Linked DNA regions of Xenopus tropicalis. The protein of the gene in region 3 interacts with the protein of the main gene of each other region in a pairwise test. Links are inferred from orthologs where the notes say so. Each region holds a gene or a part of one and is shown on either strand. Other genes may lie near its edges.

Region 1 (3,521 bases), on a different chromosome or scaffold from region 3:
AAGGGAAAAGTTTTCTTTGTGATCATAGATTTAAAATACATTTTAACCTTTAGTTGTCATCCTGATTGCCACTTATCTTGGACTTACCAGTTTTAGCCTCCTTTAGAAGCTTTAGAAACACAATTATGCAATAATGCTGCCATAAAAACTATTATACAAACACACAAAGGAAACATACACATAAATGTGAATCAGCAAGGATGTATTTCTTTCATCAGTAACATCAGTCCTGGTGTCAATTCTTACCTCTAGCTCTGTCATCCTCAGTAATGGAGTCTTCTGCCCTCTTTGTTACACCCCAGTTCCACAAATTGATAGCACATTCGTCAACCTAAAAGATGAACTGAAATTGTGTAAGCCGTGATAACTGTAACTAGCATAAAGTGTTGTGCTAAGGTGCAGTGAGTGTGTGCAGGGCCGGATTTCTCATTAGGGTGCCCCGAGGCCACCCCACTTTTGTCGCCCAACTCACGCATGTGCATTGCCCCCCCCCCCCCCGCCGTTTAGGCAAATCACATGGTATGATATGGAAACACTCAGGGAACATCCATTACTAATTGAAGCATCCCAGTACTTTCAAAACCAACAAAACCAAGAAATCGAACAACAAAACTATGGACCACCCAGGAGCCAACAAAGAATGACAATGTTGGCAAACTACTTGCAGTGAAAGCTATCTTTCACAAGGCCCAAAGAAAACAGGTATAAGCTAAAAGTTTTTAGCAAAGACATGAATGTAAAACAAAATACTACAACAAATGTTTTAACAGATATGTCTGACAATATGAAAATGAAAATAAAGTTTTGGTGTAAACAAAATTGAATTCCCTTACTCAAGCCCACATTTGTAGATTTATGTTTAAGGACAGGTCAAGCTATAAAGAAGGAAAATCTAAGAATCTCATCCATATAAAGTTATGTCCAAGAAGCCCCCTCTACTTTTGAAGTAAAAGGATTCAGACAATTCTTTTCTGGACTGGGACCCTTAACAGGACTGTCTCCTGCTCCAACCCTAAAGACAGCCCTGCGCTTATATATATTGAGAAAGAGAGAATTCTACAATTCCCATATAACGTTTGCAGATATTTGCTGATTAGTGGTCTGTTCCCTACCTGAGCATTCGAACACTGGATTCCATTTTCCCCCAGATATTCTATCTCTTTGTACAGCTGATCAATAATCTCACTCACAGCTGATGGTAGTGGTCTCCCCATCAAGTCAGTAATAAGACCTGGAATCAAAAAGCTTTAAAAAGTGATCACATTACAGATAGAAGAAAGCACAGGCCTATCTTTGAAGAGATGAATTTGCCCAGTTATCCCTTTTCCTCATGTTCTTATTGCAGCCTGTAGTCAATTCAAAAACAATAGCATCAACCCATGGGAATGAAAGTAGAATGAATGGTATCATTTGTACTGCATATATCCCCTTTGTTTGCCAGCACCATCACAATTTTCTTAAAACAAATATCAGCTTTCACCTGGTGGCCATTCCCACATTTTTATCAGTTACATTTAAATCTGCAAACAGCATACACACACAGACCCTTATTCAGCATAAATTTCATCAAGGATGCAGGCTCACACAGGCGGAACTGTCTTTGATAAAAGGTCTACTTTGTTCGAGCACTGTAATAGTTAAGCTAAGCTCAGGAGAGGAGGTTAGGGGAAAACAATGGGAGCCGATAGATGGAGCTGAGTTTATATGGGAACCAGCAATGCCATCTTTTCATTGGCTGCTAGAATGGAGGGTGTGTTTAGTAATCCGAGCTGAGAAAAACTGAGCATGCCCAGGAGCCAACAGCCAAAGGAAATCCAAGTAATTAAAGGAGAAGGAAAGGCTAATAAAGAGTTAATCTCAAGCTGCAGGCATACCTTCAATTGTCTCAATAATGCCCATAAGTCTCCCCACATTTTGCCTGTTTAGATGATCAGAAGCCAAATAGGAAGAAAAAACGCTGAGCTGTGTAAAGAGGATTCCCATAATGCATCGTTCCTGCACCAAGACTAAGACCAGCTCCTCAGTAAGCGCATGCGCATTGACAAGAAACAGAAGTGCGCCTCGCTAGCAAGCTCGTGCCTGTGTTTGCGCAGTGCACAGTTAGCATAGAGGAGAGTAGGTCGTGCTCGCGTCTTGGGGGAGGGAGAAGATTTGCGCAGGTGCGTTTACTTACACGGCGCCATGTTAGACTAATTTCAGTATCCAACATGTTGGCCACAATATGCGCGATATAGCGGTTACTAAAGTCGGTGAGTGCAGGAAATAAAGAGGCTAAAAAGCTAAAAAAAAGGTAGCGATCAGCTATGGGCACATGAGGCCTTTCTAGTTATGGGGTTGCCATTTTAACCCTTTCCTTCTCCTCTAAGGTGATGCTGCAGCCTGAACAACCAGAATGGCAGGTATTAAAAGATTTCAATGAGGCCGTTCACTGATTACATTTTTACATGTCCTTTGATAGACTTGGAGGAGGGGAAGCTGATTATTATTAGTTGGCTTGGAAAGATTAGAATCTCACCTGCTAGTAATGTTGCATGCACTAGGGATAGTCTTTGTAATCCTCTGTTTTACTAAGTGAATAAATAGTATTTTAAAGTGTATTAATTTTTAAAAAAAATAAATGAGGGTGTTGTTGAGGTTAGTGTAACTGTAAAGATACAAAATCCTCAATTAAAAATTAAAAATACCATTAATCTTGTGGCTAATGTGCTTGGTTTTCTGTCCCTATCCCTGAAAGATACATTATACTTAGGACACTTGCCCAATAAGTCATATAATATGACCCAGTTTTCCTTTATTTTTTTTTAAATCAATAGCTTTGTTATTAAACTGAGAATGATGAATGAATAAAGACAAGGTCTGATTGAATCTTTGTATAATAAACTCTCTTCCCTTTTTACTGCCAGTGTCTCAGTTAGAATCATTAAGAGGTTGCTAAAGAATCAGGAGTATGATGAAGCTGAAAAACATTCTTCAACTGGATTACATGTGTGCCCTTTAATATTACTCATAGCAAAGGTTACAGCTTCAGCTGAATTTAAAGGAGAACTAAATCCTAAAACTGAATATGGCTAGAAATGCCATATTTTATATACTGAGCTTATTGCACCAGCAATGATTCAGCATCTCAATAGCAGCATGATCCGGGACTTCAAAGTTGTCACACATTCTTACCCTCTTGGATTTTGCTTTGACACTCACATGCTCAGTGTGGTCCTTGCAGCTATTGAGAATCTAAGCAGAAACCACCTGCACATGTGCAGATGGATTTTAGCCCAAAAATTGAGTATTCTGGGGTTTACATAGTTCCGTATGAGTAGTTTCAGGCAGCTGTAAGTAAAGTTAATGGCAGGCAAAAAAGGTGAATTTTATCAGTGTATTTTAGGCTATACAGGTCATTTACTTATGCCCCAGATGCACACACCCCCAACTGTCCCGGTTTTAATAGCGCATCCCGCTGTCCCAGATAGTTCCATCACTGTCCTGCATTTCCGTAATAGATTACAGAAATGCGGGACATTCAT
Region 2 (3,521 bases), on a different chromosome or scaffold from region 3:
CTGTGACATAACCGGCATCGCAATTCTTACCGCAACTTTATATATATATATATAAAGTCTTTGATAAAGGCTAAAGTACTAGCCGAAACGTTAGTCTCCTCTTTATAATAATAATAAAAAATAATTTGTTTATATAAGTCCTGTGAGTGCTGACCCTCTCTCAAGCACCTTCTATATTTATATAATAATATATAGTTATTTATTTCTTAACTTTGTTGCCACAATAGCATTTTAATTCTAGCCATGTACAAGATCTACCACATGGAGAGGGGAGGAAACCTCCTTCTCTGGGAAGCCACACCCTCTACCAACTTAAAGGAACAGTAACACCAAAAAATGAAAGAGCTTTAAAGTAATAAAAATATAATGCACTGTTGCCCTGCACTGGTAAAACTGGTGTGTTTGCTACAGTAACACTACTATGATTTATATAATAAGCTGCTGTGTAGCCATGGGGGCAGCCATTCAAGCTGGAAAAAAGGCGAAAAGGCACAGGTTACATAGCAGATAACAGATAAGTTCTGTAGAATACAGTAGTGTTTTATCTGTTATCTGCTATGTTCCTGTGCCTTTTCTCATTTGAATGCCTGCCTCCATGGCTACATAGCAGCTTATTTATATAAATTATAGTAGACTTTCTGAAGTAAACACACAACTTTTACCAGTGCAGGGCAGCAGCACATTATATTTTAGTTACTTTTATACACAATTTTTTGGTGTTACTGTTCCTTTAATATTTAGCTTTAATATTTAGCCAGATGCCAGATGCCTCAGCAGCCCTTTAGCCACAATCTTTATTTTGGTGGCCATAAGATCTCTACTGGCAGACACTTAGTGGCTAGGATAAACATAGCATACACCAGGCAGTTCAAAACAACCTATGTGCACATATCCTAAGATGCAAAAATATTAATTAACTACCATAAATGTCCTTTTACATATTAATGCTGTGAAGACAGCATTGCAATTTTCAGGTATTCAACTGAAGCCTTAACTGTTATTATTGTTTACTTAGCATCTTCCCTGTCCCTGTAGACCACAGTCTACAGCTACTGGACATTTGCCATTTAGTTTACTGCCCAGTGCATGTTGTTTTACTTCTCTAACACAGAAACCAGCCAAACCTCTTCGCTTGAATATAGGTCTGTGTGTGACTGTATGGGGATCTCTGACCCTGTGGCATAATAGTTGTTCAAAGTAAAAGATTTTGCATACACCAGGTAATTAGAAACACACATGTTAATACATGCAAACATGCATTGGCGAATCTATAAAATTGTGTGTGCATTGAAGAATGCATTAAATATTTCATTTCTACTCATTTGTTCGTGTTGTCACCTTATCTTGTGAATCCTTTTACTGGGCCCCTAGGTAAGACTATAATACTTTTCTTTTCTTTGTTTTTCTTCGTTTTGCAGTCTTCCAAACACGTACAGGGTCTAGTTGGCCTTCGGAATCTGGGTAATACGGTAAGTCTGTGAGTTTTTGTTTTGTTTTTTGTGCATACCAGCTTCTCGGGATCTCTCTTACATGTGTTTTATTTTACTCCAGTGTTTTATGAACTCCATACTGCAATGTTTAAGCAATACCAAGGACCTACGAGATTACTGTCTGCAGAATTCATATCGTCGAGATCTGAGTTCAAAAAAATGTAATACTGCAATTATGGAAGGTAAGAGATTTTCAAAAATAAACACTGCACACACACAAAGCAAAGAACCAGGCAACTGGCAATATAAAATACTACAGGCACAATATTAAATTTATAGCAAAACATGAACTGACAAAATTCCATAGCAGAATTGGTGATATGCAATATGATATGCATTACTGATTTGATTTTTATTATTCCAGAGTTTGCACGATTGCTCCAGGCAATTTGGACTAGTTCAGCCAATGAAGTAGTGAGCCCTTCTGAGTTCAAAACTCAGATACAGAAATATGCTCCTCGCTTCATGGGATATAAGTAAGCAAACTTAATGTTTTTTTATTTAACACTGTGTCATCTTCCCATCTGTTAAAAACATAGTCAAACTTAAGTGCTAAAACTACAACTACCCTTGGTTTGTGCAGTTTTCTGCTAGCAGGAGCACTGGCCCAGGGTATCAGGTACACTATTCTAATTACTGGGGGGGTCTCATTGGCACCACCAGTGATTTTAACTTTCCTTCTCCTTAAAAGTAGATATGGTTCAGTTTGAGGTGTGACCTTATTTGGGGCATGGGCAGGGATTTTAACTTGGAATATTAACATGCATGAGGGAAATGTTAGTTTTATATTGCATTTAGCTACATAGCCAGGACAAATGCCATTCCCCTTGATAATGTTATTGACTTGATAAAGTTAATGCTCAGTAAACATTTATCTTGGATTTATTAGTTAAGTCTAAACCACCTGCTTATGGGCTTTCATACTTATGTAGTGGAGAAAGTCTAGGTCGGTGGGGCCCAAAAGAATTTTCCCGGTGTCCTGGCAGCCCCAACTGACCCTGGTTTTAACTAAAGCAATGTAAATGGTTCTTCATCGTGAGGGCTGTAAAATCTTCTACCTGGTGATACTGTGATGGGCTTTCAATCATGGGCTACAGTTAGTTTTATGTATGATTCTGGATATCATATTTCACTTTCCTGAGTAAAATTCTTTCATTTCTACTATGTTCCAGTCTACGTTTATATTCCCATATTTTATTCTTCCAAGAGGAACTATATTATATATTAAATTAAAGCCTTTGATTACAGTTTGCTTTTTGTCTGTCCATTTACACAGCCAGCAAGACGCTCAGGAATTTCTACGATTTCTCTTGGATGGTTTACACAATGAAGTCAACAGGGTAACAGTCAAACCCAGACCTTCCAGCCAGGATTTGGACCATATGCCGTGAGTATTGGTTATAAGTCAAGAGAAAGTAGAGAGTACTCAGTGCATGTGCATACTACATTAATTGATGTAAATCAGTGTTTAAGTCAAAGTGTTTCTGACTGCCTGGCTTGATTTTACAGTCGTCTTTTATATTTAAACTGAACACAAGCACTTTTGGTCTCTGCCTTATGACCTTGGTTTGTGCTACTGCCAATTGTATGGGGGAGGACAGGAATGGAATTTGTGGTTGATGTCTCCCTAGAGGAAGGAATACATCTGCATTTAATTAATCTGTAAACCACTGGGGATACTGGAAATTACAACAAAGTAGGCAAATTAGCAATTAATTGCCACAAAAACGCAGTGCTTGGGGCTTAGATTTAGCTTTCTGAACTTTAAACAGTCCAGCCAGGGTGAGATTTGCAGTAGATCCTACTATGTAGAACTCTATGTTTTCTTCTACTAAGATATCTGGATGCTCACTTCACAAGCCTAAATGTTGGATTTGTACAAGTTGGCTGCACATAAGTATTAGCAGATTCCACTGATAGAAACGTATCTACCTATGGAGATGGAACCCAGTTCAGTGGACACACATATTTTCTGGGTCCTATTTCAAAATAGGAAGCCACACTACAGGATAACTGACCAAATCTGCTGCA
Region 3 (3,953 bases):
CACAGGAATTAAGGATGTTTCTGAGAGAGGAAGTCAGACACTGGAACATCATGTTTACAAAAAAAGAGACAATAAATCCTGTGTTTCCTTTGATAGAGGACTCAGTGCAGCGTTTCTGTGAGTGCTTATGACTGTATTTATATAGACCTTTCTGATAAAGCTTACTTAGTTTTTACCTTTCCTTCCACCTTAAGTACAAGAGGATGAACAAAGTCTATGTATTTAACCCCTGCCTGAAATGTTCTCTCACATTTTCTACACTACAGCAGCCATAATATGGCTGGAATATCAAAAAGATAAGATCTTCACCTTGGTCTATCTTCTTAACTTCTCAACCACCAAGTCAATTTGCTATCTAGAGGAACCTGACAAAGGGGGGTGTGTCCTCCAAAAAAAGAGTCAGATGAAATCTACCACCTAGAGCCATGCAGGATTCAGCAATTGTGTATATGCCATCGGCTGAGCTCTGGTACCTGTAGGCAGCAATTTCTATATCCAAAGCCATCTTCACATTGAGCAGGTCTTGATATTCCTTCAGATACCTCGCCATTTCACTCTTGGTGTTCCTCAGCTCTTCCTCTAATTTGTTTATAGCATCCTACAGAAAAGAGAATGCCATTCTTCAGCTTATTTAAGATACCAACCTCACGTACAAGATATATATCAAATACTGTAGACTGGAGGCTACACTGCACATAGCAATATCTCCATGCAGCTTTAGCAGATGTTACCTTTAGAAACTTACAAGTATGGGGTCTCATTTAATGCACTCACTTGAAGCAATGGGCAGGTACGATGGGCACCTTAACCCTTTAGAATCAGAAAAGTGAAGTATTTCATGCTGAATGACCAATTAGCAATTAATGTAAATACATTACTGCAGTGCTGCAAAGAAACCAGTGCAGGATGTGGATTCAGTATATGTGTAAAGGGGTGTGGGACACTGCAAGCTAAATAATTCCTTGTAGCTAATAAAATGTACAGCAGCAGCAGAACCTACAAAGCTGGTATGTAACTCCAACTCCATAGTTGCTTCTAGAAACTCTCAACAGAAAAAACAAAGCTCTGCATCAGTGTACAGGGGACTTGGGACTGTATATATAGCTGGATGGCTGCAGACTGGCAGCACTATCTTGTAGGGGGGGTCCATCCGTCTATGCACTGCACCCACTCCGGGAGCTAATGTTTGTGGGGTATAGGATACATAAAGAAACCTCATGCAAGGATGGAATAGTGTGGCCAATAAGGCAAGAAGTAACTAACATTTTTATATCGGATATGTCTACACTGCAGCTTTTATCTACAACTTCTAGCATGGGTGGAATGCATCCTGGGAGTTATAATTATATTCAGGAAAGGTGGGTTGTCTTTTTTTTTTAAAAAAAAAGTGGGGTGGCTGCAGACTACCAGAACCCCATTTTTCTACTGGGGGCCCCATACATCTGTAGACATTTGGGTCCCTGTTTAATACTGAACAGTGGCAAACATTGATTTTTCTAAGTTCCTGATGTTTGTACCCCCCCAGTGTCACTGAATGTATCCCTGTCTGTGGAGACAGATACACCCTCAGCCTACAATATAACCTTTATAACGTTAGCCCAGTGCCAATCTATGGGGCTGATTCTATGCTATTCCCATGTCCATTTATCCTGCTGAATTAATGTTAACGGTTAAGACATTGTTCGCTCCTACCAATATTACTAACCCCCCATCCCCACCCCAGCAGCACAGACACCCCAGTACCTGCATCCCTGCGATTTCCCCGCTCTGCTTTTCCTCCAGTTCCTGGATTTGCCTCTCTAGAGCGTCGTTCACCCCCCTACAAGCCTCTATCTCCAGACCCTTGGCGCTGAGCATCCTGCGACTCTCGGACACCTCATCCTTGGCGGCTCTGACTGCGTCCGTGTTGCGGGCTGCGCTTTGCGTCAGGACAGTGAATCGCGACTTGAACCAGTCCTCCGCGGACTGCATGTTCTTGGCTGCCAGCTTCTCGTACTGGGCCCTTATATCCCGCAGGGCAGAGCTGAGATCGGGCTTAGCCACTTCGACTTCTAGGGAGATCTGAGCGTATTGCACCTGCGACTGAAGCTGCGCCAGTTCTTCCTCATGTACTTTCTTCAGGAAAGCGATTTCGTCTAGAAGGCTATCCATGCGCTTCTCCAGTTCTACCCGGGCTAGGGCTGCCATGTCGGCTTCTTTCCTCACATCCAACAGCCTGGCCTCCGCGTCTTCCCGGCTCAGCGCTTCTTCCTCATAGCGCCCCTGCAGCAGGCGCAGCGCATCCTCTAAACGTTCGCGCTCGTTGCGCATAGTCTGCCGGTCCCCCGTAGCCTCCTCCTGCGCCAGACGCAGCTCCCGTACCTCCTGCTCGTACAGATCCCGCAGCCTGGAGGGTTCGTTGTGTTTTTGGCGCAATAGGAGCAGCTCTGCCTCCAACACCTTGTTGCGCTGCTCCAGTTCGTGGACGCGCTCGATAAAGTTGGCGAAGCGATCGTTCAGGTCCTGCAGCTGCGCCTTCTCCTGGGTTCGCACGATTTTCAAGTCGCTGCTGATCGCCGCTACCTGCGACAGGTCCATGGTGTCCACGCCGTGCAGGAGGGAAGAGGAGGAAGAAGAAGAGGCGGCGTAACTCCGGCGCATAGTGCTGGAAACCACCGGGGAGTAAGTGGTTCTGCTGGGAGAGACATAGCTGCTCCTGATGTGCACCCTGGGGCTGCTCTCCACCACCCGGCGCTTGTAGGAAGTGTAATACGGGTCGTAACTGTAGGAGCTCATGGTGCCGGCTGGGGAGAGCGCAGCGCAGCGCCTTCTTATATGGTGCGGGGAGTGCGCTGCGCATGCGCGGTGCCACTAGTTCTTCAGCGCTCAGCACCAAGGACAGAGCAGATCAGCTTTTCAGAACTGCAGAGGTGCCGGTTCCGCCTAAAGCCACAGCCGCCCCTCTCCCACCCACATGTACAGCTCCCATCACTGGGATCATTGGGAGTCACTGGCACCCACAGCAAAATCAGTTTAACCCCTCTACCAAAACTTTATGAATATATACATATAACTGCTTATCAGTCATTTCCCCCCCCAGCAGGGACTGCTTCCAATGTAGTTACACCCCTCTAGTTATGTGTTATAGTAACCCTAAGCAGCAACTTCCCAACAGGGAATAGGGTCATGCCTAGGGTGCAAACACCCCACAGGATGACTCTGCAAAGCAAGAAAATTCCAACAGCCCTCATAAAGAGTGATTTTTATTTGTGCCACAAAACAAGCCTGTAAAAATCACTCTTTATTCACCATTTAGGAGTGCTGTTGGGATATTCTTGCTTTGAATAAACTGTTGTTCTGTTGTCCCATCTGATGACTCTATTGTATCACCAAATGGGAGGTACGCTGCTTGATGTTTGACCAACACCTGGGGATCACCTTCATGGCCAGAAACCACCCAACCTGATATAGAACTTTTCCATCTAAATATAAATACAGATTTAACTACTAAAGGGATGGAAATAATTAAATAAGCACTATAGGGAGACAGAATGAGAGAAAAGGCAACCCTTAGCAATGGCAGGACCCAATGTCAGTCATTCTGTTGGGACCTGCAGTGCTTTACACATGGAGTTAAAAGGATTTAGGTCCAATAAGGCAACAAGTGGAAACTGCTGCTCCCCCTCCTGTCACCGAGCTCTGCTAATGTAAAATCAGTCTTTCCCCTCCTCAGCCCCTTCCCCATGGTGTCCCTTTATTTATAAAGCTTGAGGTGGCAACCCTAGCATGGGTTAAATACATTTATCTAAGGCTGGCCCTGATGACACTGTTAACTTTCACTGTGTATAGTGAAACAAAAACAGTAAATGATCCTACCCAAAGCAGGAATAAGAAGTGATAGCGGCTGGGATGTTAAGACATTTTTGGTTAATGGGCAAATGAGTTTTGGGATGGAGCACTAAGGTGCCTACAGT
Region 4 (2,321 bases), on a different chromosome or scaffold from region 3:
TAAACTGCATCTAAACTGTAATTTACATATTCTAATTTGAGTAAAATTTGGACTAAAATGCCATTTGGGCAAAAATAAGCTCTCTTTTGTTGTGCCCATGCACCCTACAGAAATGTTAAAAACACCAGAAATATATGGCAGCATCATGCTCACAGTAAAGCTACCCTGGGCCAGAGGAGGAGCACTGACCCAGGTTTACTTTCAAACACTTGCTTCGTCATCACAGACATAGAACAGCTCCCCCAGCTTCAGTATGCAGAGTATTAGAGTATTTGCTATCTGAAATGTGTGTTTAACTCCAGGATGGGCAGCTACAAACTAGATGCATATATACAAAGCCAATAATACATTGCTATCCCACAATAAAGGCATTGGGCTACTCTGGCTTTTCCATTGGTTAGCAAGAAAAATGTATGGTGCACTCAGGAAAGTCTTTCTGAAAAGAAATGTCTTGCAAGCTTACAGTACAGGTCACTTCTTTAGGGAAATGTTCATAGAAAATTTCACCTCAAAAACTTTCCATTGGCCATTAAAAGTACGTTTTTTTCTACTCCTAAAATAATAATATAAATCTGTGTATCTGGATTACTTGGTAACATCATCTACAGTGAAAAGGTATATTGACAAGGTGACCCACCAAAAAGTATTTTAGCCCACTTCACATCGCATTACTAAAATAACTGTATATATTTGTACAGGTGCACTTTTTTAACTTTAATAAAAATGTGTGGATTTCCTTGTCTTATAAATATCCAGTTTCAACCATCATAGCTAATTTCGAAAAATGTAATTCATGTCTTCTTAAGCTGAATGGTATATATCAATAAATTCCTACAATGCAGGTTTTTTTTTTATTTATCTAAACAGGAAATAGCTCGCCATTTGCGTCCTAAAACACTTCGTGCTCGCTTTGGAAAAAACAAAATTAAGAATGCTGTTCATTGTACTGACTTACCAGAAGATGCGCCATTAGAGGTGAGATATAGACTAGTCTTAATGTAGAAGATACTCTTATGCCTAGTGTGGCATACTTCCCAAGTTCTGTAGTTTCAAATCAGCAAGGCAACTCCTCAGTTCACCCAGCTGTGTCTGTGTGCAACTCTGCTACACACCCTGTCGAAGAGGCCTTTTTTAGTAGAGTTGCCCCACCTTTAGAAACTAAGAACGGGCAGTTAGAGGATGTGGTTTGGGGCATCTACAGCTATGTGGGTCTACTTCTTGACTTGGCTTTCATCAGCATCAGCTACATTTACTTATTATATTTGAATGTATTTTGCTACCAACTGCTTTTCATGACAATTTTGTAAGAACACCAAACTAATGGTATCTGTATGCAGAACTACTGTTCTTTTCTCAACAAAAATCATGTTACAAACCCCACCCCACCCCACCCCCAATGTAAACCTAAAGCTGCCCATTTCTGTACCCATAAGATGATATGAAATCGAAGTACATACATGGCTAGATGTTCTTTTTCCCTTATTACTTTTCATTTTTTTTTGTGACTGAACTGTAATAATGGATTTTATTTGATTTAAACCTATAACAAGACAATACTTCACTCACAGGTGCAATATTTTTTCAAGATTCTGGATAGCTGAATTGAAAAACAGAAGAATCCAAAACACCAAACTTTGTTTATTGTTTTATTGTCTCATGTTTAACTTGACTGAAGTTCCAACAAGAGCACAGGACTCCTGGCAATTATTACAGATGTATGAACAATGTGTGCACAGTAGACATTTAAATACATCCTATGGGATACTGCATTGCCATGAACGTTGTTTTAAAATAAAGATTTATTTTTCAACAGGTTACTTTGGTTTGTTTCATACATTTTCTTTTTCTTGAAGAAAAATAAAAATTGTACAACTGCATAAATATAAAATTCTTCCACCATGAAAATGGTTAAAACATTTGTAAAGACAAAGCACCAAACTGTGATGCTTTCAGAAAAAACAAAAAAACAAAAACATAAAATAAAAATATTTATATATATATAACTCAAAAACCATTAGCCCTATTTCTGACAAAAAGTGACAGTCGGACCCGGGGCTTCACACACCTTCATAATGGGCTTAAGCATTTAAAGGGGAAAGTTTCTATAAAAAGCATTAAATAAAAAGCACCGCACAACCCATCACCTCTTGCATTTCAGTGAAACTAAGAAGAGAAAGACAAAAACAGAAGCTCTTTTACAGATAAAACAAATCAATGCCTTATTTAAAGGACTTGTGGAGTGCTATTAAATATTATTGGTTGGCCACCACTTCCGTTTAAATTAAAAAAAGAAAAAACAAAACAAGAAAAGTAGCAATAAA
Region 5 (3,521 bases), on a different chromosome or scaffold from region 3:
AATGTTTTTTTTTTCACAAACTTGTTAAATATTCCTTTTCAGCTACTATCTCTACATGTATGATAAGGTTGTGGCGCCGAATGTATCCCTCACAGCTACTGTATCACAGTGCAAGGAAGCAAAAATAGGAAGAAAAGAGGTTGCACCCAGCAAACCCTCTGTGGAGCTAGAGAAGCAGGCTAGGAGTGGCAAACATAAATCTGTTACCTCATACCCTGAGCTTTCCATAGAGGAACAAGAGAGGGTGGATTTGAAACCAGACATAAAGACCAGTAATATTAAACGTAAGTAAAATGTGCAAGTTTTCTGGCCTCCTCTTTGATTCACATGTTCTACTGAAAAACAACATCAGCTACTTAAAGAAGTTTAAGCAAAGGAATATTATTATCTTTCGAAGGACACTTTAAATGTGACTAATCGCTTAACTCTAACCCCAGTCTGGGTCTTTTCTACGAAAAATGCACTAGCCAGGGGTAGTATTGAGCAGAGTAGGCCGCCATAATCTTACCCTACTTACCCAGTGATTGCTTGGCTCAGCATAAAAGGTAAGTGAATAGGTAATAGCGTTGCCAACAAAATGGCCGGTGACTCTAACTTTTCTATTCCTTTAAAACAGTGTTGTTTAGGATCAAGTCCCTTTTAGTTGGTTCAGCATTTAGTTAGGGGCCCCATTACCTTATAACACACTGTTGTTGCAAGAATATCTAGAACAGCAAAGAAGTGTTCACTGCAAGGCTTAAATTAGTTGTCCTTCAGGTTGGGTCTGAGGACAGCATTCAGCCTGACTTCCCAGCTGCCCATCCTTGGTAGGTGGGATAAGCTCCACAGTTGGAAACCTTCAACAGGTGGGTCTTCACAGAATATTGGCAGGCTGAAGACACTTTTGAAGGATAAGGAACTGCAAAGTGGTGTATATGGAGATATGGAGATGAAAGCTGAGATGAGGGAAGGGCCTTCAGTATTTTGATTCATAGGGAATCAATGATCTGGATAAATACATGAGTCTGCCCTATACAGTGGTTGTGGTAGCATCATACTCTGGTTTTGATTTTTATTAGCAGGGACTAGCGGTAAATGTGAAAGAAATGTTAGGAAGAGCACCGCACTTGTATGAAAGCAATATTATTAATTATCTGGTATTAATATAGTGCATACACATTTCTGCAGTGCTTTACAGAAATGATGCAATCACCCCAGTGCAATCACCCCAGTGGAGCTCACAATCTATGGTTACTATCACATTCACCCACAATAGTGGCAGTTTCATAAGGAACCAGTTAACCCGCCTGTATGTTTCTGGAGTACTATGGCAGAGCCCTCTTTAACTCTTGTATTGGTTATATTTTTGTGTTTAATCTGAATGTTCAGCATATGCACCCATTTATTGTACAGAGTTGTATAATATCTTGGCGCTTTATAAATACATGTTAGTAAGAATAATGGGACTATTCAGAAAGTCGACTGGAGCACAGTTTTAAAACTACTGCTTTTGGTCATTGGCGCTGCGGGTTGGGGGTGTTAGGTTGCGGGGGGGGGGGGTTTGGTTGTGCAGGGACGATGCTGGGGGAGCCGGGTGAAAATCCAACATGGCGGCCACCACAGAGTGCAAAGAGAGGAATGTTTGAAGGCACATTTTGGGACAAGGGAGGATTATTTTTAAAAAAATAAGTTTGCGATCTGTTACAGGCAAGGGGGCTCTACAATATATTAAGGGCTTTAGTAGAAGCCTTTCCTTGCTCTTTAAGGAGATTAAAGATAAATGTGATGGGAGTTCTTATATTGTCATTTTCAGTTTGAAATAATATTCAGAGAAGCAAAATAGCGTTAAAATGTTTAGCTTTATGCTAATTTTGATTTGCACAGAGGTGACATTTTTGCAGGTTTTTTTTATTAGGTAGTTAAATCAGTTAGAATGCTATATTATCTTATAAGGTATGTTCTCGTATTCTTCTGTTCCCATTTCTTTCTTTATCTTTGGTTTCAGTGATAAGCTTTTTATTTTACAGAGCCCAATACAGTGGATGGGGAAAAGCATGAATCTGCTTGTAATAAGGATATTCTCTGTGTGGATGACAAAAGCCAAATAATGGAAGAAGTTGTAAAAACATTCTTGAAACAGCAAGAGAAACTGAATTACATTCTGCAGAAAAAACAGCAAATTCAAATGGTATGTAAGGTGTCACTTCAAGTTACAGATTTTCTCATGGATACAACCTAAGACATTTGTTTAACACTTAAAATTATTATTGGTAAAAATAATTAATGGGTGTAATCTTTAATAAATGTTTACCCAGATTGGTGAACTTAGGTCAATCAGTGACTTATACATGTGTCATAAAGATTGGGCAGAAAGAATATATACCATACAAGGGTCCCTATGCTTTAGGCTCAGCCTGGTGCAGGTACAATGAGCAGATTTCGACACATAACTACTTGGGTATGCAATTACGCACCAAAATCTGCCGCAGGTACATCAATAGGTATTTTGAAGTGTAGGGGCAGATAAATACAGGACAGGAATCCACCCCATGTAGCAGGAGCCTCATGGCCACCTTTCAGGTTTTCCATTGAAAGCCAAAATGATACCAACATAGGCAGATTTAATGTTCCAACATGTCGTATTAGCAAATTGACAAATATCTATGGATATTAGACAGGATTATCAAGGTAGCATAAAATTAAGAAATAGTTTCATTGTTATTATACCTGTAAGGGCAGTGAAAATCCTACCTTCCCTTAGTTAAGTTTGGAAGTATTTAAACACACCAGATCTATAGAGTAATCCAGACTTTCCTGCTTGGGCTGGTATACCTAACTGTAATTATCACAGTATCTTTTGGGTACTTGTGACATTGCCATGTATATATTTTGTATGCTGTTTATATAGTGCTAACATGTTATGCTGGTGCTTTACAAAGATTGCACATCATTCAGGTGACTTCATCTCCCAGTAGAGCTTTAAAGTCTATGATTCCTATCACATTGACATACAAACTAGGGTCCATTTCATCAGTAAATTTTTAGCCTTGTGATGTGAGCCAAATGAATAACCGTTATTATTTCTGAAATCATCCCTTTGTGCTTTTACAGCATTTGTATTCTGGACTGACTAGAACCCCATAATGCTTGTGTTGGTCTTCCATAAATTTCAAGATTCCATCATAATAAATAAGACTCAGCCGCTCAAAAACATCCTCACCTTTCATATGGGGGCACAAACAAGCTGCTTACTGCTAGACTGCATAACTCATATTTTGATAATACTCCGTAGGGTACATTCCTAACATTGATTGTAGTTGAGTCACAGTGCCCCTACTAAAGGCAGAAGTAGCTCAGTTACTTATACAGTAATAATCTAGGCCAAGGACACAAGAATAACATACTGGTTTTTGCAGGAAGTTGAACTACTAAGCAATTCCAAAACTATGAAGGACCTAACTGTGGAGCAACAGAACTTGCAGAAAGAGTTTGAATCCTTGCAGAATGAGCACATGCAAAAAATGGAGGAATTATATGATGAG

Evidence for each region. The genes of interacting proteins can lie anywhere in the genome.
Region 1: the proteins of nefl (region 3) and tex11 interact in a two-hybrid assay, tested with the Homo sapiens proteins (2 studies listed by BioGRID and IntAct). The two-hybrid records come from large-scale screens. The link is inferred for Xenopus tropicalis from reciprocal best matches to the Homo sapiens genes NEFL and TEX11.
Region 2: the proteins of nefl (region 3) and usp2 interact in binary tests that used the Homo sapiens proteins (3 or more experiments, as listed by UniProt). The two-hybrid records come from large-scale screens. The link is inferred for Xenopus tropicalis from reciprocal best matches to the Homo sapiens genes NEFL and USP2.
Region 4: the proteins of nefl (region 3) and nme7 interact in binary tests that used the Homo sapiens proteins (3 or more experiments, as listed by UniProt). The two-hybrid records come from large-scale screens. The link is inferred for Xenopus tropicalis from reciprocal best matches to the Homo sapiens genes NEFL and NME7.
Region 5: the proteins of nefl (region 3) and skil interact in binary tests that used the Homo sapiens proteins (3 or more experiments, as listed by UniProt). The link is inferred for Xenopus tropicalis from reciprocal best matches to the Homo sapiens genes NEFL and SKIL.

What each region holds. Positions count from the first base shown.
Region 1 is NC_030684.2:44,774,650-44,778,170, reverse strand, and holds part of tex11 (testis-expressed protein 11), read right to left. Parts: intron 1,232-3,521; coding exon 1,113-1,231; intron 332-1,112; coding exon 247-331; intron 1-246. UniProt on the Homo sapiens protein: Regulator of crossing-over during meiosis. Involved in initiation and/or maintenance of chromosome synapsis and formation of crossovers.
Region 2 is NC_030683.2:80,116,568-80,120,088, forward strand, and holds part of usp2 (ubiquitin carboxyl-terminal hydrolase 2), read left to right. Parts: intron 1-1,418; coding exon 1,419-1,469; intron 1,470-1,551; coding exon 1,552-1,672; intron 1,673-1,854; coding exon 1,855-1,966; intron 1,967-2,766; coding exon 2,767-2,877; intron 2,878-3,521. UniProt on the Homo sapiens protein: Hydrolase that deubiquitinates polyubiquitinated target proteins such as MDM2, MDM4 and CCND1. Isoform 1 and isoform 4 possess both ubiquitin-specific peptidase and isopeptidase activities.
Region 3 is NC_030679.2:127,657,501-127,661,453, forward strand, and holds the start of nefl (neurofilament light polypeptide), read right to left. Parts: upstream 2,803-3,953; 5' UTR 2,776-2,802; coding exon 1,744-2,775; intron 599-1,743; coding exon 474-598; intron 1-473. UniProt on the Homo sapiens protein: Neurofilaments usually contain three intermediate filament proteins: NEFL, NEFM, and NEFH which are involved in the maintenance of neuronal caliber.
Region 4 is NC_030678.2:55,260,273-55,262,593, reverse strand, and holds the end of nme7 (nucleoside diphosphate kinase 7), read left to right. Parts: intron 1-867; coding exon 868-975; intron 976-1,568; coding exon 1,569-1,601; 3' UTR 1,602-1,814; downstream 1,815-2,321. UniProt on the Homo sapiens protein: Possesses an intrinsic kinase activity. Displays 3'-5' exonuclease activity with a preference for single-stranded DNA. Does not seem to have nucleoside diphosphate kinase activity.
Region 5 is NC_030681.2:111,877,215-111,880,735, reverse strand, and holds part of skil (ski-like protein), read left to right. Parts: intron 1-42; coding exon 43-284; intron 285-2,006; coding exon 2,007-2,167; intron 2,168-3,395; coding exon 3,396-3,521. UniProt on the Homo sapiens protein: May have regulatory role in cell division or differentiation in response to extracellular signals.